Linked DNA regions of Rhinolophus ferrumequinum. The protein of the gene in region 1 purifies or fractionates together with the protein of each later gene. This does not show direct contact. Links are inferred from orthologs where the notes say so. Each region holds a gene or a part of one and is shown on either strand. Other genes may lie near its edges. The genes, in order: SOD1, PRDX2 and TKT.

Region 1 (7,103 bases):
AAAGCGAGAGAGAGAGAGAGAGAGAGAGAGAGAGAGAGAGAGAGAGAGAGAGAGAGAGACACACACACACACACACACCGGGAAATGGGAAATGTCCAACTGCCTACCCTTGGATCCCTATGGGTATGTGTGTGTGTGTAACGGTATACAAGTTCATATATATTTCAGTGTACATTATAATTCCAGCATTGGTATTTTTGATACATAGCCAGAAAATGTTCTATCCCACTGCTCCTGGCATAGAATAATCAAATCTAATCTAACCAGACATACTTTTTCTGAAGTCTTTTTAGGGATTGAAACCTCAATAACCTTTGTGCTCTAACTACTGAGACTAAAAAGAAAGGACAACACGAAAGCAGGTAAAAGTAACAGAAGTATCGCCATACGGGCAATGGTGATGGTAATGGTGTTTGTTGCAAGGCTACACACATAAGTCGAGGCAATTACTGTTACAGGCACAGGGGGATCTTAGGAACTAAAAATACACACAAGCATCCACACCACACAGCAACACACACAATGCTGTCTGTACTTTTAAACAGTCAGGGCCCACAGTTGCAAGAGGTGTTAGCCTTGAAGACTGACTTTCCATTGTAAATAGCACTGCAAAATCAAGTAGTGTGGCAACTCCTGCCTTTTTTTGCTTTTCTTTTTGAAAACAGATATACTATGATTCTTCTGAGTACAACCGTTAATTTTGGAAAAACTCAAATGTGAATGTTATCCTCCAAAACAGGCTGTTATCCAAAGCACAGAGACAAACAGGGCAGGTTGTTCCACACCTCCATTTAATGGTAATGCATAGAGCACATGTTAGTTCAACAGTAAGCTTCCTGGGAACATGTAAAACAGGTCAGGGAAGCAAAGCAGACATAACCTGGTCCAGCATAGTGCTGTCCTGGGCTAATGAAGGCTTGGTATGTGCAGGTCTCCAAAATCACCAAGAGAAACTAGGAATTTGGACTTACAGGTGAAATTTTCTAATTTAAAAAAACTGGAAAATAATCCAAATTTTTAAACACTCAATAGGCCAAACAAATACAGTTCATTGCCAATTTAATACATCTGCATATCTGTAGAGCTGTAATGCTTAACTATCCAAGGGTCTTTATCCGGTACAATTAGCACTACCAAAGTGAAGTTTGGAACTTAAGAGGGAGACATGTAAGCTGCTCAGGGAATATGGAAAAACTCCGGGAACCGCAGTTCTGTATGGATGCACAGCTTGGTTTCTGAATGTAACACCAGGAGCCATTTCTCAGTGGCCAGAGGAAGAGACCTCAGAGGCTTCTTAGACTCTCTAGTATCGGTGAATTATGTGGGGAGGAGAGAGGGACAAAACAAAATCTGGCAAACAAAAACAATAAAACTTAATAAAACGCAAAGGGCCTTTTCCAGAAAATTTGGAAGCCACTTAAAGGAAAAAATGAAGCTCAAATGTAAGTTCTCCTTTGTGTAAACTTCATAGATGGACCACTTATCTAGATTACGTTTCCTGTCCTCACCTTTCTGTAAACCACTTTAGAGACTAAATCTCACTCATACATTAAATAATCTCTCCGAATAATAAACCAAGTACAACATAAACAATTTCCACCAGTTGGTACCCTTACTAAGATTTGGGGGACAGTCTTATCACAAGCAACTTCCTTACAACACGTGTGCAATATCACTAATGAGTATTTCTGTATACTTTACAAGACCTGTTCCAAAGTTTGTTTTCTACCATCTCAGTAACAGGCCTATTGATAAGAGCAATTTCAAAGTCACTTCCCAGAGAATTTGGTTAAACAAATGCTCCACGAGTTAAGTGACAAATTCCATGCAACAGAAACACTCCGGTCTAACTTCCAACTCCCAACCCCATCCACCAACAGTTAATTCTCCATCTTGGATGCACATTAGAACTTTGGAAACTTTAAAATTGCAACGCTCAGATTGCAACCTGACAGATTCTGATATAATTGGTCTGGAGTTGGGCCCTGGTATCTGTATTTTTTAAAAGCTCCCCAAATGAGCCTACTTTGCACCCACGGTTAAAAATCGCTGCTCTGGAAACTTCCCCCGACAAGGGAGTTGGTTAGATCTCTCTGGCTTTTGGAGCTTTATCTAGGGCCATCTTCTTTGCCCTTGGAGCCTGGCCGTGACCCAGAGTAAGCGTCAGCAAACTTTTCTGCAAAGGGTCACAAACGGATTCTGTTGCATAGTCTTGGTTTTCACGACCCTTTAAACATAAACATATTCAAAACAAACACCTAAGAAACACTTAGCTCCAGGGCTGGACAAACTCCGGTCCTGAAAGGATGAGGCCCGTGCGCCATAGTTTGCAAACCCACGAACGAGAGAGCTCAAGTCGGATATGAAGCCCTAAAGGGGTAACGGATGCGAAAACAGCGGCCCGGCGCAACCGCCACCCTATCTCACGGGCGGGCCGAGTATTGGACTGCGCAACTGTGAAGAGCAGGATCCTCAAGACCCAGAAAATGACCCCGCAAAAACGGGCCAAAGCCTTTTCAAAAGCGTCAAGTTCTCCGCTCTGGCCTACAGACGCCGCGGCGGTAGCCGAGGCCCTGAGGGCGGCTAATCTTCCTCCCTCGCTTTCTCTCCTCCCTCCCGGGCCCACGGTTGTTGGCACCCCAGGGGCGGCCCGCCCTGCACCCCGCCCTGCACCCAGGCCCGCGGCAGCCTCGCCACGCACGGCGCTGCTGCCGGGCTCACCCCGTGACTCAGCGCTCCGCGGCCGCGAGCGAGTAGCTGCGCGGAGGCGCAGCACAGCCGCAGGGCAAAGGCCCCGTGCTGCGCGGACTAGCGGGCCGGGCGCGGCGGGGGCGTGGCGAGGGCGGCCCGAGGCCCGGCCTGCCACCCGCTCCCGAGCACAGGTGCGCGGCACGCTCTCGCCGTCGGCCTCTGCCCCGGCCCTTGCCTTCTCCTCGAAGTGGATGGTGCCCTGCACCGGGCCGTCGCCCTTCAGCACGCACACAGCCTTGGTCGCCATGACTCGCGGGTGACGCTCTCGCCTGCGATCCAACGGCAACCGCAGACTCTGCAGGAAACGCCGACGCAGAGACCTGCGCTGCGGAATTTTTATAGACCTCCGCGCCCCGCCCTCCCCCCGGCCCAGAACCAATCGCCGCCCGCGTGCACTGTCCTCCCCAACGGAGGGCCTATGGGGGGCGGGGCCAAAGCAAAGGGTTGCGTTCGGAACTTAGTCCTTCGCTCCTCAGGCTCCCTCCTTCCTGTGGCTGTAAAACGCCCAGAAACCTGGAGCTGTGGAAAAAAACAACCTTTTTCTTCCAAAGATTGTAATCGTGGATTGCTGTACGCGACCCTGGGAAAATGAGGTATACGTGGCACGCCTTGGAGATCTGAAGTCACTTTGTCTGGAAACGTCTGGAAATTAGTAATAACTGACTTTGGTCATAACGTTTTCTGATTTGTTATTCAGAAATGGGGACGCATGGAGCTGGGTGATTTTGTAGTTTTTATTGTTTTAATTGTCTTGGTGTGGGGGTCTCTGAGGGTGTGTAAAAGCAAAACGTCTCAATCCCTGGCCTCACATTTTCTTCCTTGCAGTTTCCTTGGTTCTCAGCACATAGAGTTACTTATTTGGTTACCATAACTCCGTATTCTTTTCAAATTTTTCCTGTTTGACAAGGAAGGCCACAGGTAAAAACATCAAAATGTCAGCTGACTTACTTCTACACATCTCTCTTTTTGTCTAACTCTACTGCCGCAACAGTCAAGGAGAAAGGTAGGATGGGTAAATAATTTATGATACCTCTGAGGAATAGAGCGAAGAAATAAAATGCAGTCACTGTAGTGAAGCTGCTAAGTTACTAACATCAAGTAGGTTGAGGCATGAGGACTTGATTCTGTTGTTCTTTTAACTAGTAGCCTGGGAATTTAAACTGCTAACTTTCCAGTCCTGCTCAATGCGTGGGTAAGTATATCAGACCTCCAGATAACCCTCTGGTTACCCCCTGAAGGACTAAGGAGACAATGTTCACATATCCAGACCACTTGGCATCCAGTATCCAGACTAGCAGTCATATATAGGATTATCATCTTGGACCAATCCAGAGGCTGAGAATGCAGGACTGATTCTTCTCAAGAATGTACTTTTTACTATAAGAACCCTCAGCGTTTCTTTCTTCTCCAGAACACTCTGGGTGCTGCCTTTCCTGTTTTCCCGAAAATAAGACCTAGCCGGACCATCAGCTCTAATGTGTCTTTTAGAGCAAAAATTAATGTAAGACCCGGTCTTTATATTATATTATATTATATTATATTATATTATATTATTATATTATATTATAGACCTGGTCTTATACTACATTATATAAGCCCTGGTCTTATATTATATTAAAATAAGACCAGGTCTTATATTAATTTTTGCTCCAAAAAGACGCATTACAGCTGATGGTCCAGCTAGATCTTATTTTCAGGGAAACATAGTAGTTGTGTTTTCTGTTTGCAAGCCATAGGACCCTTGAAAAAGTCTTTAGCATTGATTTCTAGCCAAAGCCTGATTTCATTTACTCTGGTTGACACCTCCATACACCAGAACATTACTTCTTTCAGAAAGATATTCCAAAAACATATTAAGAAATGAGCGAACTACTTTATGGGTTTTTTTTTTTTTAAGTATAAATATACATTTACTTGTGTGCTTAGAAATCTCTAGAAAGATATGCAGAATACTATGGATACCTTTGGGGAATTGTGAATCAAACTTTTACTAATGTTCTCCCCTTAGAATTTTTTTACAGAGAACTATGCATTTGTCTGCAACAATATGGTTTACAATGAGAATACACACACACACACATACACACACACACACACACTTTTGTTGGAAGAATAGTTTGATAAACCTTGAAGGGAGAGGGAGCATGAAAGGGGAGAAGAATCTTCATCTGCTGTGCCCACAGGGTGTGCCTAAATAACAAAGGTGGCTGAACTGTTTCTGGAAGTGCATTAGACACTGCACAATTTAATCTGGAAAATGCATTAGACACTCTTAGAGGGCTTGTTAAGCCTCAGGTTGCCATGTTTCTTACTCAGTAGGTTTGGGGTGGGAACCCAGAATTTACATTCCTAACTTGTTTCCAGGTCTGGGATCTCACTTTGAGAATCTCTGACTTGCAGGTGTTTTTCATGCCCAGTGAAATAAGCAAGTTGGGGACAAGAGCTGGAGCTACTTGACTCAAAAGAGGAAAAGGGGAAAGTGTCCTAAAAAGAAATGTGGAGACCAGCAGACATGGACCAGGGACAGACTTTAGGAAGAAGAGTTCTCTCTGCTGGGGATTTGTTCCACTTGCTTTGTGGAATTGAAACCTTCCCCATCTCCCTGAGAACTCAACACAATCCACATTTCCCTCTAATGCTCAGTGGAGAGGACTGAGCTGTGCGGATGGCGAAATACTGAGGCTAATCCAAGGCCAGAGTGAAAAAAGGACAAAGGGCTGCTGTTCAGGCTACACTTTCTTTTTCTTCTTTTCTTTTTCTTTCTTTCTTCCTTTCTCTTCTTCCTTCCTTCTTTCCTTCTTCTCCTTCCCTTGGAATCTAAGGCACCCTCTGTCAGAGATATACAATCCACGTTTTTTATCACCCTCTTGAAAATGTACCTATTTGTGATTTTGCTTAGTGTTGTACTCACTAGTATTTTCCAGAGAACGGACACATGCTAGATTGTTGCATCAATATGCAATGCCAGCCAAAGGGCCTTTGCCCAAGGCCAAAGTTTCTTTAGATTTCAGGAAGGTAGAATCAGATTTCAGTTCATGATGAATTCTTGCCCAGAGGCAGCCCACATGCAAAGAGCTGCCCTGGGCCAGGAAGTTGCTCCTCTTTAAGGATATTCAGGTGAGACCCAGGCAGCCCCCTTGTTTGGGTGCAAGGAGGGGCTTGTGTCATGCAGGATTAGAGGACCCCTGAGGTTCATTCCTAGTGATGCCCTCACACCTGGGCAAGGGGGTCCCTGGCCCTGGGCCTCACCATTTAGAGAGCCCTGTTCTGTCCCTCCTCAGGTCACATTCCCAAAGGGGGAAAGAATCTGTGGAGCCAAAAACTTTACCCATCCTTCTAGAGCAAGGTTAATGAATTGTGAACAAAAAGGGGGCACATGCTAAACCTGACAAGCTGGGTGGGTGGGTGGCGTGCACGGTAGGCCTTACAAACTCAAACACAGGATGGTCTGAACATAAAAATTCCTAACTAGAGCGGGTTGTGGTGGGTAGTCACATCTTAGGATGGCAGCTCCCTTGACAAAGGTCAATCTTTACGGAAAGGGAGCCTGTCTTTGTGCACCTAGCATAATATGCCTTTGAAATGTCAGAGTAATTTTCTTTTCCAGACCCCTCAGATGCACAACTGTCGCCACCAGAGCATGAGATCATAGAACCCCTCATTGTTATCTTGTTTCCCAAAACCGTCTGTCTCTATGTGCTTTAATGTTAATTATTGATATCCTGTGCCCACCATGTAGAAGAAGCATGTTTCTGCATTTTGCTTTTTATCCAACCCCAGAGATTTCCCCGCGTTTCTCCTACCTGCTTATTCTACTACCGATGGATTTTTTGTAACCCTCCGTACATCTTCTCTTTTGATTTTAATGTCTAAAATAAGCTGTCAAACTGCCCTTCTCTGGAGCATTTTCTCAATCCATTGAGATATTGCTTCCGGGCATGTCCTCAAAATTTGGCTCAAATTAAACTCTTACAAGACTTTTTCTATAGGCTGAATGTTCTTTTGTCGACAGAATTTATTCTTTTTTTTGTTTGTTTTTTACGTACCCCCATCCTACCCCCCACTTCCCACCCAACACCTCTGACAACCACCAATTTGTTCTCTGTAACTATAAATTCTCTCTCTCTTTTTTTCCAGATTCCACATGTAAGTGATATCATACGTGTATGTCTTTGTCGTACTTATTTCCCTTAACGTAATGCCCTCAGGGTCCATCCATGTTGTCACAACAGGTAAGATTTCCTTTTTTTTTTTTTCTTATGGCTGAATAATATTCGTGTGTGAGAGAGAGAGAGAGACAGAGAGACAGACAGAGAGAGACAGAGAGAGACAGAGAGAGACAGAGAGAGAGA
Region 2 (7,679 bases), on another chromosome or scaffold:
CCTGGAGTGGAACACCCTGGCGAGGGCCACAGACAAGAAACAGGGTAAATAATAAAGGATAGGGGAGAATCAGAAAACGTTATCATTTTAAACGAGGGTGGGGGTTGGGAAGGTTCAGGAAAGGTCATTCTGAGGTGGTGACATTTGAATAAAGGACTGCAAGAGATGAAGGACCCAGTCATTTGGAGGTCTGGAAAAGCATTCTAGGCAGAGGAAACAGCCAGTGCAAAGGCCCTGAGCTGGGACCATTTCCAGTATGCTACACAGCAGTAGGGAGGCCCCATGGCTAGGTCAGGGAAGGTAGCAGGGAAAGTGATCTCCATAGCAGTTACTGTTCTTAGAAATCAGCTTTATTTGCTTACCAGCTCACCATCTGTGTCCCCTGACATGGCCACGAACCCGTGAGGCCAGCGCCCTTGCCAGCCCTCTAGCACTGCGCTGCCAGCTCCACACCCAGTCCTGGACCTCAGCCACCTCCTCAGCAAGACCTCCCTTGTTCCATTCCCTTTTTCAAGTGTATTTGTCTTTGTCATTCTCTCAAAACAGCTCGTTCTTTGCCTCAGAACACTCCATGCCATGCCATCTTATATTTCTCTACTGTAATTTAATCTCATTCTCCTCCCTTTGAGTGTGAGTTTTCCTTATTTAATTCTCACTGTGATCAGAAAATTAAATGTTGACATTTACATTTCAAAAAGATGACTATCTGCTGCTACTGTGTTGGGAGCAGACGGTAGGGGAGGGGGCTGGAGGTGGGGGGACCAGAGAAGAGCATGAGGCAGGTGTCCAGGAGGGGAGGGTGCCCTGGGCTAGGGCAGGTAGACAGATGTGTGATTTGTTCTGGACACTAAGCCTTTAGGATACAGAGATAGGTGGGGATGGGGGTGGGGCTGGGGCCCCACTATGGTCCTTAGTGGGGCATACTTTTGGGGTAGGAAAAGCAGTAGGAAGTCAACAGGAGCAACAAATATTCCTGAGGTACTACAGATATGTCTGACAGTGAATCGCCCACTGCACTCATACCTCCATTTTATCCCGAGGTGATTAAATGGGGGCTACCCAACAGTTAGCTCACCTGAGCGACTTTCACACCCTGGTCCAACGCATACTGCACCAGCCCAGCAGCTGTATCGTGGGACATGGAGTTCAGGTTGTATTTGACCCTGCAGTGGGAGACAGAGCCCAGTCAACCCCGTTCCAGCCACGGATCCCTGCCAGCCCATGCTGGCTGCCCCTCCACCACGGCCCCTCCGGGGATCCCTCACCGCCCAAGCATGCTGGTAGAGATGAGGTTCGGAGAAAGCACGTCCAGTGCCCAGCCCACAAAGTCCCCGTCCTCCTCCATTTTCGCAAAGAGCCTGTCCCGCTCGCTCTCCGACAGAGTCTTTGAGTCTGGGAGATGGGTTGGGAGAGAAGGAGTGGCTGGTTCTCCCAACTCCTGCTCTCTCTCTCCAGTTTGCACCCGCCCCCTGCACATTTCCAGGAACCCCCTTCTCAGATGTACACATCAGGCTCACCTGCTACTTTCAGGGCCTCCAGATCTGTCAGGCGCGACAGAGGGCAATAACAGATGGCGTAGACCATGGGGCCTGGGGGAAGTGGGGATCCAACCAGTGAGCCCGTGAAAGCCGCCTTCCCTGTTTCATCATCACCGCTTTTTCCGGTGCCATCACCACTATCACCACCCCCCACCCCAAATCCGGTACAATCCCGGCTCCCATTCCTGGGCAATTTGCATCCCCCTTATCATGTGCTTCCCCCACCCCGGCCCTGGAGGCGCACCCAGCACAGGGCCCCGGCCCGCTTCATCGACGCCCAGGGCGCAGGGTGCCTTGCGGCACACCGCGGGCACAGGCGAGTTCAGGCGACAGCGGCCCGTATTGTCTCTCTCCAGCTCGCTGAGATCCATGCCACTTTGGTCGCCGCCACCAGCCACAGAAACGAGGTCTGAAGGCGCAGCTTAGGCGCGCGTTTTTCGGGAGCTCCTCGGTGGCTCCGCTCCCGGCCAATCGGAGCACAGGACACGCCCCCGACGCTCCCGCCGCCGTTGACGTTTACGAAGCCGACGCCGTTGCCGTGCCGCTTTCTGGGAATTGTAGTTCTCGAGGCCCACTGCCTAGCTCAAAGTTTGGGTAACGGGTGGGCGGGGTCGCTTTCGAAGCTCCGCTCCGGGGTTTCTGGAGCTGGTGACAGGAGAGGAAAATAAACGAGGAACTGAGGCGGGCCATTGAGGACCCGCCCAGTCAGGGTCTAGAAGGTGAAATACCACTACACTCCCAGAATTCGAGGGTTCGCATCACTGGGTCCCCGTCCCCTACCTGGGCTCTAGAGGCCATTTGCACCCGCGATCCTTACACTCCACATAGTCTAAGCACCCTGGACTAGGTATCTCTGATCCCACTACGCTCAAGCCTTCGGAGATGGGGTCCCCCCAACTCCCTCTCAGTACCTCAACCGCATCTCCACTGCCCCGCCTCTTCCTATCCTCTCTTTCATTCCGGCTAAGCCTCCCCTTCCTTCCAACCGAGGTCTGAGATCTCAAGACCTCAACAGACTCCTTGCTCAGTCTTTGTCCACTACGCAGACTTATTCTCCCCATCTCTGGGTTCATGTCCTATCCCCACCCCCCACCCCGCCCTTCTCTTTCTCTCCCCGCATCTTATTCCCTGGTCTCAGCGGGGCTCTCGTCCTCTGCCTGTGGGTCCCTGGCCTTCACCAAGCTCATGACCCTTCCACAGGGTCACAGCTCCTCCATCTCCGTTTCCCCCTCCCCGTACCCCGCCATCTTTCTTCCTTTGTCCTCGGATGTCAGCGGTGCTCACATCTCCGGGCTCAGCTCTCTTCTCCCCACACCACCCTCAAGCCCCAGGCTTAGGACGCCAGTTCTTCCTTCCAGGTGCCCGCCTCCTACGCGCCCCCCCACCACTCACACAGCCCTTTCTATCTTCCCGCCCACCCAGAGGACTTGCCAGCCCGCACCGGTCCAGCCTCCTCTGCGCCCGTCTGTCACCCGGGCTCAGGGCCTCCAGTCGCAGTCGATGGGCTTGCAGGAGGAACAATCCCGTTGCCCGCAGGGCCGCACTTGCACCAGGTTCTCGCGGTCCATGAACACCGGGCCCGGCGCCGTGCCCAGCACCTCTCGGCTGCGCTCCTGCTTGCCCAGGTCGCAAAGACAGAGCCACTTTCCCCACGGGCCAAGGAGTGAGTCCTCCACGTCTAGGGATGGAGGGCCAGGTGGTGGTGGGGAACCTACCCGCCAAGCTCTCCTCTAAGAGGGGAGGAGGATAAAGACACTACCGTAACAGCAACAGCTCATGTTTGCAGGGCTATGCCTCTGCGCCAGGCACCCTGCCATAGATGATCTAACTGAATCTGCTCATTAGTCCCAGGTTGTGAAACTGAGACCTAGAAAGAGCAAGGCACCATTCCGAGCTCACGCATCTGGTGAGTGGCCCAGAGGAACTGCAAACTGACACGTCCCATCTATGACAGCCTACCAAGTTGGGGCTGTGGTACAACACCCTTGGTGCCCACTATCCGAAGCTGACTCTTGTCTTCCGAGATCACGAGCCTGTCCAGTGGCCACAGTGCCACCTGACTAGCAGTTCTGTCAAGTGGTAAATTAAATGACATAATTGGCACAATAAAGATACTTAAAGCCCCTGACGCTGTGTTAGTAGTAGAACAAAAGAGAGTGTGATCACTTTTAAAAGCAGCTACAACTTATTGAGCGCTTAACCACGCCCCTTTACAGGGTTCTTTTCCCGACTTCTCCCTAAACCCCTATGAGACAGGTCCCAACTCATCAAGCCTCCGTCACACAAAACTCCCTGGCGCACTCTTCCCCCTGTATCTTTGCATTTTTGGCTTTTCTTGTCAAGCCAGCTGTTGGTTACCTATCTTCTTCAGCCGGGCCTTCTCTGACTTCAGAAACTGACCTGCCCCCTTCTTTAAGCAGTTTACATGGAGAGAGAACGTGAGCAGGACCCAAGCAGACACATCCATAAACTCATGGGTAGGTGGTAGGAAGGGCGGAGATGGAAAAACCATGTAAGCTGCTTAAAGGCAGTCTCTATTTCACTTTACAGATGAGAAAACTGAGCCTCAGAGAAAAGTGACCAGCCCAGAGCGAAGGTGGGCGGAGATTTGAAGTCCACGGAAGAGGGTCTGTTTGTAGCCAGCTGGCAAAATAGAGCGATTGGGCACCCTTCCGCGCTGTCACACCCGCGAACTGCAGTTACCTTTCCCCTGATGCTGCAGCTGCAGTTGCTCCCAGGTGTCGCCTTTGCCCTCTTCACCGAAGTAATGGTAATCGGGGGAGACTTGGGCAGGAGTCACCAGCAGCAGGAGAATCAGAGGCGGCAGTAGCAGCGCCTCTGGGCTTCGGGCCATGCGGAACTCCAACTGTCCCCCGGCGCGCTCCAGGGCTGAGCCCGGCGCGGGGTCCCCGTGGGCGGGCGCAGTGGTCCCACCCGCGGCTGAGCCTCTCCCCCAGCGGTCGGCAGGCGCGTGGGCCCGGCCGGCTCCTCTCCTCCACCCCTGCAGTGGCAGTGGATCCGACCGCTCTGCTTGTCTACTACCCCCCCCCCCGCCCTGCGCGTCATGGTTCCGGCCACGCATAAAAGGCTCCGCGGCTCTGCGCGCACTTGGTGCTGAGAAGCTGTCTACGGGTCCGCTGCTCTTTGTGTCCCGCCCTTCCCCACGCAGGTAGGGACACCTGGAACGCACCCGGCTGGGGGGAACCCCTTGGAGCCGCTTCGGCCCTCTTCAAACTTCAGCGCTGGCCGCCTTTGTTTTCCACCCGCCGTGGTGGCCGCCTTTGTCCTTGGTGGGGGAAACCGAGGCCAGAGCCTTGGAGTGCAGGCCGCATGGCCAGGATCCCGGCTCCCAGCTCGCTGGGGCTCCTCCCGGGGCGGTGGGCCAGCGCCACCGCGCTCGGCGACAAGCTAATGGGGGCCCAGCGGCTGCGGCCTGGTGTCTCTCGCTGGCCGGAGGGGCGGGTCTCCCGTGGTCTCAAGGCCGCTCAGAGCGGGTACCAGGGAGGGTGCGGGGCAGTGCCGCTGCCTCCGCCAATCTGACTCAGTCATCGGGCCCAGCTCGAAACATGACCTTGGGAAGTGAGACAAAGGGTCTTCCCGGGCGCTCTGACCGCGCCGGGGGTGGGGGTCTCAGCTTTCAGTCATGGCCGCCGGTAACGCGCACATCGGAAAGCCCGCCCCGGACTTCCAGGCCACCGCCGTAGTGGAGGGCGCCTTCAAGGAGGTGAAGCTTTCCGACTACAGAGGTGAGGGCGACCTGGAGGGGGCCCAGACTGGGGTGGCGCCCTGGCACTCGAGGCGATGGGCCTTCACTCCTCGTCTATTCCTGCCCTCTTCCTCAGGGAAATACGTGGTCCTCTTTTTCTACCCGTTGGACTTCACTTTTGTGTGCCCTACGGAGATCATCGCTTTCAGCGAACATGCTGAGGACTTCCGAAAGCTGGGCTGCGAGGTGCTGGGGGTCTCTGTGGACTCGCAGTTCACCCACCTGGCTTGGTATTAGCGGGGACCAGCAGGGAGGGAGGGTGCAGCCAAGCCTACACCTGTATAGGGTCGGACCTGTGTGTTCTAGTGGCCATTGCTCAACATCTGCGCCTCCCTTTCTCATCTTTAAAATAAAGGAAAAGTGACGCCCAGGTCCTGAACGATGATGACAGTAATTAGCATTTGGAAACTAGTTGCTTGGTGCGGAGTTGCAAATGCTTTTTATCTCACTTTGAGCAAAGCAGCCTCCCTCCCAAGAACTAGTTCAAGAAGGTGGCAACTCCAGTTCAAGGGAGTCAAGGGCTGGGCCCCAGGACACAGCTAGAGAAGAGGATGGGGACTCTGCTTCAAGATGCGTGAGGCTGTAGCACGTGTGAATCCACTTTGCTAGAACAGGCGCATTGGCTTAGCCTTCCCAGCTGTGGGAAACAGTCCCTGCACCCACTTCAGGGTGGGGTGGGTGGGACTCCCAGGGCCTTGCTCTAAAGCCCCTTATCTCTTGTCTCCAGCACCCCCTCTCCAGCTCTTATCACACCCAGGCCCACAGGGTAAGGACCCTGTGGTGCCAGGCATCCCAGTCTGAGGTCCCAGCCCTGTTTCCTCTACCCCCAGGATTAACACCCCCCGGAAAGAGGGAGGCTTGGGCCCCCTGAACATCCCCCTCCTGGCCGATGTAAGCAGAAACTTGTCCCACGATTATGGCGTGTTGAAGAAAGATGAAGGCATCGCCTACAGGTACCATGGGGTCCTCAGGGGACACCTCCCATCCTCAGGGTGAGGGGACCACTCTTAGACGGTGCCCTCCCAACCCCCAGCCCTGTGGCTGGCAGAGAGATGGTTCTCCCAGCTCCTCACAGTGAACACTGATATCTTTAGGGGCCTCTTTATCATCGATGGCAAGGGTATCCTTCGCCAGATCACCATTAATGATTTGCCTGTGGGGCGCTCCGTGGATGAAGCTCTGAGGCTGGTCCAGGCCTTCCAGTACACAGATGAACATGGGGAAGGTGAGTGGGCACACATTCACGGGGGTTCATATGTGAGTAGATACCCAGCCCCTCTTTCTGTCGCTTATGCGGACATTCACTGCCTGCTCTATCACCTGGGTGACATGGATGTGAGGACCCTAAAGAAGATTCAGCTTAGGGCCTTGTCTGCAGGAAGTTTCTCATCTGGTGGGAGAGATAACCCGACTATAAGGATGGAGCGCTGGGAGGTAATAAAGATTTATAGAGAAGATATTTGAGAAGGTTTATGCCACAGCAGGCTTGAATAATGTTAGTTGCATCAGAGTACCTTCTCAGATGGAGGGCACAGCTTGACCAGTCTCTCAAAGTCCAGTAGGGCGAGGGCTGAGGGAGAAAGATGGGGCTAAAAAGAAATAAAAATATCAGCCCCAAAATCCTGCACCTGGGCTTGGGGGCTTCTGTCAACATGTGGTGTGGTGTTGGGTCTGGACCACTTGGCTGTGGGCTTTTTCTTCTGCAATTTGGGCTCTTGCTTTGCCTCTCACTACTGCCCTATCTTGAATATGGGGCTGTAGCATCACATGTGCATTCTTGTGTCTTCCCACAGTCTGTCCCGCTGGCTGGAAGCCAGGCAGTGACACAATCAAACCCAACGTATATGACAGCAAGGAATACTTCTCCAAACACAACTAGGCTGGCAGACGGATGCCAAGCTTGGGCTCTTGGTCCCCACCTGTGCCCCCACCTGGGTGCCCTGTGCTGGCCCTGGAAAGGCCAGACCTGCCCCTTCACGTTCCAGTCAATGATCCTGGAAGGCTAGGCCATGGCCGTCACGTATTCCTAGCTGAGTGGTGAATGGTGAACCCCTCCCTAGAGCCTACCTAGTGAGGCACAGGCCTAGAGGTGACCAATAAAGTATTAGGGACAAATATGAATCTGTTGGTGTGTTCTGTTCTGATGTTCCCCCCCTTCCCCTTTCCTCGAGGCTCTGGCCTTGGGAAACTAACACTGTAGTTACTTATCTTCACCACAAGGTGACAGTCTTACCTCATGCTCACTCCTTGGCCTCAGAGCAGTTGTGTGGGGGGGTGACTTTTGCCCCCTGCTGGGAACAAATCCCACAATACCCTAAAGGAACCTGGCCTTGGAGGGCAGTGCCCATCCCTTGCCATCAGCCATGCTTGGTTCA
Region 3 (7,135 bases), on another chromosome or scaffold:
GAGAACTTTCAGGCACAGTACTGATCCCAACAGGAAGAGACATACCTTGCATCTCTGACAGGAAGTGATCCTACTCTACTACCGCAGGAGGAGGAAGAAAAGATTCCTTCTAGCCCAGTAATAGCTCAGCCAATGGGAGGCTGCTGTAACATTATCAAAAGAAGGATTTCCTGAAAAATGCCTCCTGAAGGAAATTTCGGGCATTGAGAGGAGAGATGGACTTATTAAAACTCAATTAATCAGCGGTAGCCAGTTAGCTCAGTTGTTTAGAGCATGGTGCTAATAACACCAAGGTTGCCGTTCGGTCCCCAGATTGGCCACTATGAGCAGTGCCCTCCTTAAAAAAAAAAGAAAAAAGAAAACTCAATTAATCAACCTACAAGTCCATATAGAGTGGTCACAAGTGGGCACAAGGCTGGAGGCACACTCGCACAGGAGTCTACAGACCTGTAAGCCCTGGATCTGAGTGAAGGAAAGTGCCCTGAGAACCCAGACTGGGATGTTGGCTCCAGTGCAAGCCCTGTGCTGGCTTGGGGCCCCCAGCACCTAGCCCAAGCATGCCCCAAGGGCACACATGTAGGCCGGCCCTGCCAAAGCAATGCCCAGCACTGTCAGTTAGGAACACAGCTGCTCAGGGCCCATTCATGACTCATGGGGGCTCTCCAGGGACGTGAAGGAGGAGCACAGCAGGATAGCTCTGCCCTGAGTTTCTTTCGGACAGCAAAGCAAGAGTAGGAGACCCCACCCACCAGCACCCACCTCCTGGGGGTTTACTCCCAACCCAAACACATCCAGGGCAGCAGCCTGGCTTATGAAACACAGGGGTAGCTTAACATAACCACCAGAAATCAAAAGAAAAAAATGCATTCATAAAAATGCACCCCATCCCCCAATCTCAGCAGTATTTTTTTCAAGATAGAATTTTGTTTTGATTTTTTTTGGATTATAAAAGCCAACACTGTTCACTGGCATTAAATTCCAACAAAAGAGAAATGTGTAAAATAGAAATTAAAAGTCCCCCTCAGTCCCACCATCTAAAGTCCCCCACAGCTTGGAGTGTGTCCCTGCAGCCTCTCTGCTTTGCCCATGCAAACTGATAAACACGCATATACTCTGGCAAACACACGTGCACACACCTGCTTTTATTTATTTTTGACAGAAACAGGATCACACTACCTGCTGTTTCCTGCCTTGCTTTTACTCCATCAACAGTGTATCACATCTTCCCGCCCCACACGGGGCTTTCAGGGCTTTACCTGCCGCTCCACACTCAGCCCTGTGGGACACGCAGCAAGTCATTGAACTCAGGTCCTAAGGGTCTCTCTCCCCAGTATTTTTCCCTGGAGAGTTCTCAGCACCCGCAACAGAATTGCCTGAGAAACGCAGAGTCCTAGGCTTCACCCCAAAAATTCTGATTCAGAAGGTTACGTGTGGTACCCAGGGATCTGTGTATTTAATAACTGCTCAGGCAGCTCTTGTGACCTAGTCAGCTAGGAGACTGTCATGTCTGGTCTTTGAGACCATTAAGGAATTACATTTCCCCACAGGCCCATCTAATTTCATCCCCAAGAGTAAGATCATTTCTGAGGAGGTTTGGTCATCACGCTGATCAGGTAAAATTACTGCTCAGGCCCCCACCAGGCCCTGTCCTCTGCCATCATAGACATTTGGCTGGTGGAACTTCCCACAGGACCATTTCCCAGGCACAGACTTCCCAGTCTAAGGGCATGAGCATTGTGGGGAACCTTCGCATCTGAGGGTCCGGTTGGGTGCCCAGGGCTGAGCAGCAGGAGGAACTGGACCTTGGCTGTGCCCTGTGCCTTAGGTGGGAGAATTTAAGGAAGATTACGTTAAATTGGGATAAAGCAAAGCCGGGATTGGATTACAGAATAGTTAAGATTATGTGCTCTCTTGAGGGTGGTTATCCCTTCGAGGGGTATTACTTCTGGCATTTCAAAGGTGTGTTAGCCTAGATGCATAAGAGCAATGGACAGGGCTTGTTCAAAAACCTTTCACTAAAGAAATTACAGGCATGGGGCGTGACTACCCACCATGATTTTCCCAGTTAGGAATCTAGGATTTATTGCAGCACCTCTTTTTCTTCCACTAGATCCAGGCGGTGTGAAGATTTCAAGAAGGGCATTACTGTCACAGGGAACAGCCTGTGCAAAAGCCTCTAGGCAAAGCAAGCTTAGTGTTTTTCAAGGAAAGCAAGAAGGCCAGTGTGGCTGGAATGGGGTTGTGGGAGTAGACGTAAGTAGAGAGAAATGGGAGAGAGGCGGAGGGCGGGGGGATAGAGCATGCTACCATGGAGGGGCCTGATATTCTAAGGGTGGAGGGAGATCAATGGGAGGTTAGCTGGGCAGGAACAGGGATTCTCTCTGGCAGCCATGGAGAGAGAGGCTCTCAGGGAGGCTGAAAGAGGATGGGGGAAGGGGAGCAGAGGAGCAAGATGGCAGTTTGAAGCCAGGCAGAAAGCCAGCAGGACCCGAGGTCTCCTTCCCAACTGACATGTGATTTATGAGGAGCATGTGGCTGAATAGACTCAGGACCTGGGGACAGGAGTAGTGCCTTGGACAAATAGAGTGTTGACAATACCTCCCGCCAGCCCAGGATTCTGGTTCTGAAGCTGACCTTGGTGAAGGCCAAGAGCTCCTGAAATGTAGCTAAAGCCCAGGATGAATTGGGTCTCATTCACCTGGAACCCCAAGATGAGAAGAAGCTAGAATCAGGGGTCTCTAGATGGAGGGGCATTTTCTTTCCATCACTATGGGGTCCCTAGAGCCAGTGAATCCCATGCCACCATCAGTGACCAGGTTGGGTATAGGGGATCAAGGATTAGTCCCATTGGGCAGGTGGGGAAATTAGGGTTTGTAATAGGAGGCCACTGCTCTAAAGGCCACAGAGTTGGAAGGCACAGAGCTTCCAAATGGTTTCAACGGTGTGTCCTTTTATCACACCTTGAGCAGCCTGAGGACAGAGCTGGCATACCCCAGGGTTACCTCACTCTATCCAGTCTGCAGTGCTGGCTAACTTCGGGCCAGCCTCAGGTGGGCAGGCTTCTGTGGGCTGGGCCAGCAGGAGCCAAGTGCTTGAGGGTCTGGCTGGTATGTGGGAGCCAGGCCAGCAGAGGAGCAGCCAAGGAACACTTGGGGGTGAGGTGGGTGACTCACTCACATCCAGTCCATTGTCCCACATGACCCAGAGCTCTGAATGTGGGCTCTGCAAAGGACACCAAGTGGACACAGGCAGCATCTGGCCCCTGGTGCCTTCCACAGTTCTCTCAGAGGCTCAGCATCAGACAGCTCTGGTGCAGGCCCCTGCTCAGCCACCAGCTCCAGAGGCCTGCCTTTATCTCTCCTTTTTAACATGGAGCTTCCGCCTGTGGAAGATATGGTAAGTGGCATTGACCTCATGGGGCATGTAGGGTGGGTGGATTCCAGTAGACAGTCACTTTGATGATGGTACCCCTAGTCTGGGGACTCCCATCCCTCTGGGGGACAAAGAAGTCTGTTAACAGCGGAGGTGGGCGCTCTCTTGGAGATGGGGCTTGAGGATGGGGCTGGTCTGCTAGGACAGAGCCCCACACCCACCAGCCCTGTGACCTTGTTGACCTTGCCAGTCTCAATGTGCTCATCTGTAAAATGGAATTCCAGTGAAGCCTCCCCTGTCAATTCCACCCAAGGACCTTGGCGGAGGAAGGAGACAGACCAGTCTGCAGTGAAGGTGCAAGTCAAAAGGCAAACTCTGAGCCAAGCCTAGAATCTGGAGTAATTATTTTTATTTGTGTGTTTGGTAATTACCGCGGGGCAGTGCCGCCTGACGCACAGTAGCTCGGCAGCCCGTAGCTGCCGGCAAATGTTGGGGGAGGGAAAAGAAAGGAAGGGGAGTTCGGGCAGGTGAACAGCATCCGGCTGGTTCCGGAGACGCCGGACTGAGCGGCGGCCTCAGTTTCCTGATCAGCGCGGAAGGACTGGAGAACCCGCCGCCCAGGGCAAGGGGGCGGGGCGGGGCGGGGCGGGGCGGGGCTGTCAGCGCGCGGCGGCCTCGGGTGATGCGGCCGCCCCGCCTCCAAGGGCGGGCCCAGGAGTCTTAACGCGCCCCCGCGCGGTACCGGGCTTCGGCCTCTGCCGGTTTTTGCACGAGCCACCTCCTTACTTCTGTGTCTCCGCGTCCTCCAGCCCCCTGCTCGCCCGGCCGCGCTATGGAGGGCTACCATAAGCCTGACCAGCAGAAGCTGCAAGCCCTGAAGGACACCGCCAACCGCCTGCGCATCAGTTCCATCCAGGCCACCACGGCGGCCGGCTCTGGGTGAGCGCCGACCTGGGAAGGGGGCGCCGGCCTCGGCGGAGCTCAGGCTGGGGTGGGGGAGCCGGTTCGGAGGCCGCGGTCGCCGCCAGCACGCCGGCTGCCTGTGGCGCAGCACGGTGCCACCACGAGAGGGGCGGCGAGGGACGGGTCAGGTGGCGGAGGCGCGCGCCTCGCTGGGCCCGGGCCCAAGCCGCCTTCCGCTGCGCCGCGCCGTCTCGGCCGGGCTTCCGCCCTGCTGGCCTCGGCGCCCTGTGCGCCTTAGGCCGTCTCTGCTCTCGTAGTACGATTTCGGCTGCGCTAAGGTGCGGAGGACGAGGCTCGCAAACCGTGCGGCCCCTCTGCGTCCCTGAGGGAAAGGCCACCAGTATTGCGCTCGTGCGGAGCCAGGCCCTGTACCGTGCGCCCTACGCGCGCGGCCCTCTGGACCCTGTCCACGCCCTGTGCGGGGAAACCGAGGCTCCGAGTTTAAGTCAGTTGCCCAAGGTCACTCACGGCGAGAGCTGGAATTTGAACCCAAACTGCCCAACTCGAAAGCGCCTGTTTTAACTCCTCATCTTGCCGGGAGACTCGGCCTGGCCCTCTCCCCACTTCACACTGCCCCGCCCTTTGGCCATCTCACATTCCTGCCACCCTTGGGTTGGAGTCCGAGTTTGCCGCCGGGGATTGCTGAGACTCCGAGCTAGGGAGTGGGGTCGGGGGGAGAGCGGAGGAAGGCAGCCACGTGGATGCAGAACCCTGGCGCCGGAGTGAAAGGGAGCTCTTAGATCTGACCTGGGGCAGGAGGTGGGGGGAGGGGTCAGAGAGCGGGTACTTGGAAGGCCGAGAGAACCGAGGACCGAGCCCCAGGGCTCGGGCAGTAGGAATGCGGTCCTGTGGGCAGGGCCAGCAGCCAGGTGCACTTTCCCCAGGTCAGAGGCTGGGGCACCCATCTCCCAGTGTTCTTTTGGGGCCAGCCCTTCTGGCCGAGAAGGTGCAGAAAGGCTGATGCTGATCCCCAGAGTCCTCCCTTGCAGACGGCTAGTGGCCGGGACAGTGATAATAACAGGGGCCACCATACAGCTGGAGGCCACCGGTGGGGGAGTTAAGGTCAGAGTCTGTCCTGCTCTGAAATGAGAGCAATGGCAGCTCCTACTCACTGGGCTGTTTCAAGGATGCAAGCCTCTCCCTTAGGGCCGGGCATGAGGCTGCACAAACAGGAATACTTTGGGTTCATGAAATGAATTTGGGGGCTGGGTGGGGGGTGATTTCCAAGAACCTTCCCAACCAAGCCGTGTGCTTAGAACAAAGACAAGATGCTAGCTTCTGGACAAGTATATACGGTCAGTATTACTAAGTGCATTCTTTTTTGTACCTCCAGGGTGGGTATGTTCTACCCCTTTGTGCCTGTAAGACATCCAGAGCTCAGAAGGGATTAGACCTCTGTTGGCAGGCCCTTTCCCTTCCACCCCACCCCCGTGCACACTTTGGACCTCTTATCTCTATTGGGTTTGTATCAGTCCTACTCATTGTGTGGGGGCCCCTGCCCTGGCAGGGACCCAGCTTACTTGCCGTGCTCCCTCCCCCAGCCTGGCACACAGTAGGTCTGCACACCCTGTAATGATTCTTGGGTACTACAGGTCCCCTTCTCTTGGCCATTTCTGGGGGTGACTCGCCCTGCAGGGCCTTGTTGAGCCCTACTGTGTGCTAGGAGCTGCTATCGAGCCAGGCTCTTGGGGGTCTAGCTAGAGGGACAGCAGTTACCCAACTAGATGGTGTTATCCCTCTGAGCATCTTGTAGGGCCAGGTGAGACCTGTGGACAGTTACAGGGTTACTGAGCCACACAGGTATCTCTGGTGTGACACAGCATCCTTTATTGCTAGTATTCTCCTGCATTCTGAGAAGAACCCTAGGAGATACGTACTATTTCATACACATTTTATCGATGAGAAAACTAAGGTTAGTGCATTCAGTGACTTGCCCCAGCTGGTCATTGGTGGTGGTTCCATGCTGCCCAGTGAGGGGCGTCTTGCGTTTTCAGAAAGACTTCCTGGGCAGATAAGAAAATGGAGAGAAATTGGAAATGGGGAGATCAGATGCAGTGATGGTAGGTGTCAGTCAGCTTGAAGGCACTTGGAGAGAAATGAAACGTGCAGCTGTTGGGAGATCCCAAAGGGAGGGTGTGTCCAGTGGGTCTCCTGGGTCTTTACTGCCTAGTTAAACTGATTCCTGTGGGGGAAAATACTGTCTGAGAATATAACAACTGAGGCTTTACACTGGGTTTACTTTGTGGTGTCTTACGGAGGAACTCACTGAACTCCAAGTGTCCATTTGCAAAAAGAAAAAGTGTAAAATGTAGTGATTTCTGCGTGTTTGTGAGTGTGTAAAAGATACAGGAAAGAAACACTTAGAGAAAATTTATTTTTCAGGAGGAAGTAACCCTGCTATGCAACCCCTGTCACAAGAGACTTCGAAAGATGTGTGCCAAGAGCTATATGTGTGCGCAAAACTAGTTTTGGAAGACTTGAGTTCAGGGCAGGGTTCCGGTCCCTGGATGTTTGTTTTGAGGCTCCCTGTTTCCTCACCACAGTGGGTGAGTTCCATCCAGTGAAGACTGAGTCCTGACTCCTTGGCCCAGTCTGGGCAGCAGTCACAGCCGAAGTGACCGTCTGTCAGGGTGCCCCCTTTCTGGGCGAGCTTACATCCCTGGTGGTGAAAACAGCACCTAGATCAAGTCTTTTCATTGTCATTCACCCACACCGGCTGGACTCACATTGTTCCATTGAGGACACAGGCTGTCGGGTTCAGAATTCGATGGGGTCCTGATTTCTCAGTAGCTTTCCCATT

What was found.
Region 2: the proteins of SOD1 (region 1) and PRDX2 fractionate together in Homo sapiens (co-fractionation; 3 studies listed by BioGRID, with this or other methods). This does not show direct contact. The link is inferred for Rhinolophus ferrumequinum from reciprocal best matches to the Homo sapiens genes SOD1 and PRDX2.
Region 3: the proteins of SOD1 (region 1) and TKT purify together in Homo sapiens (affinity purification with mass spectrometry; 3 studies listed by BioGRID, with this or other methods). This does not show direct contact. The link is inferred for Rhinolophus ferrumequinum from reciprocal best matches to the Homo sapiens genes SOD1 and TKT.

What each region holds. Positions count from the first base shown.
Region 1 is NC_046285.1:98,047,401-98,054,503, reverse strand, and holds the start of SOD1 (superoxide dismutase [Cu-Zn]), read right to left. Parts: upstream 3,080-7,103; 5' UTR 2,999-3,079; coding exon 2,927-2,998; intron 1-2,926. UniProt on the Homo sapiens protein: Destroys radicals which are normally produced within the cells and which are toxic to biological systems.
Region 2 is NC_046301.1:48,770,463-48,778,141, forward strand, and holds PRDX2 (peroxiredoxin-2), read left to right. Parts: upstream 1-4,578; 5' UTR 4,579-4,707; intron 4,708-5,172; 5' UTR 5,173-5,181; coding exon 5,182-5,284; intron 5,285-5,380; coding exon 5,381-5,534; intron 5,535-6,134; coding exon 6,135-6,257; intron 6,258-6,398; coding exon 6,399-6,529; intron 6,530-7,097; coding exon 7,098-7,183; 3' UTR 7,184-7,425; downstream 7,426-7,679. Other genes in the region: RNASEH2A (ribonuclease H2 subunit A), read right to left, coding at 1,076-1,163, 1,266-1,392, 1,518-1,589, 1,783-1,909.
Region 3 is NC_046300.1:48,695,753-48,702,887, reverse strand, and holds the start of TKT (transketolase), read left to right. Parts: upstream 1-4,082; 5' UTR 4,083-4,204; coding exon 4,205-4,311; intron 4,312-7,135. UniProt on the Homo sapiens protein: Catalyzes the transfer of a two-carbon ketol group from a ketose donor to an aldose acceptor, via a covalent intermediate with the cofactor thiamine pyrophosphate.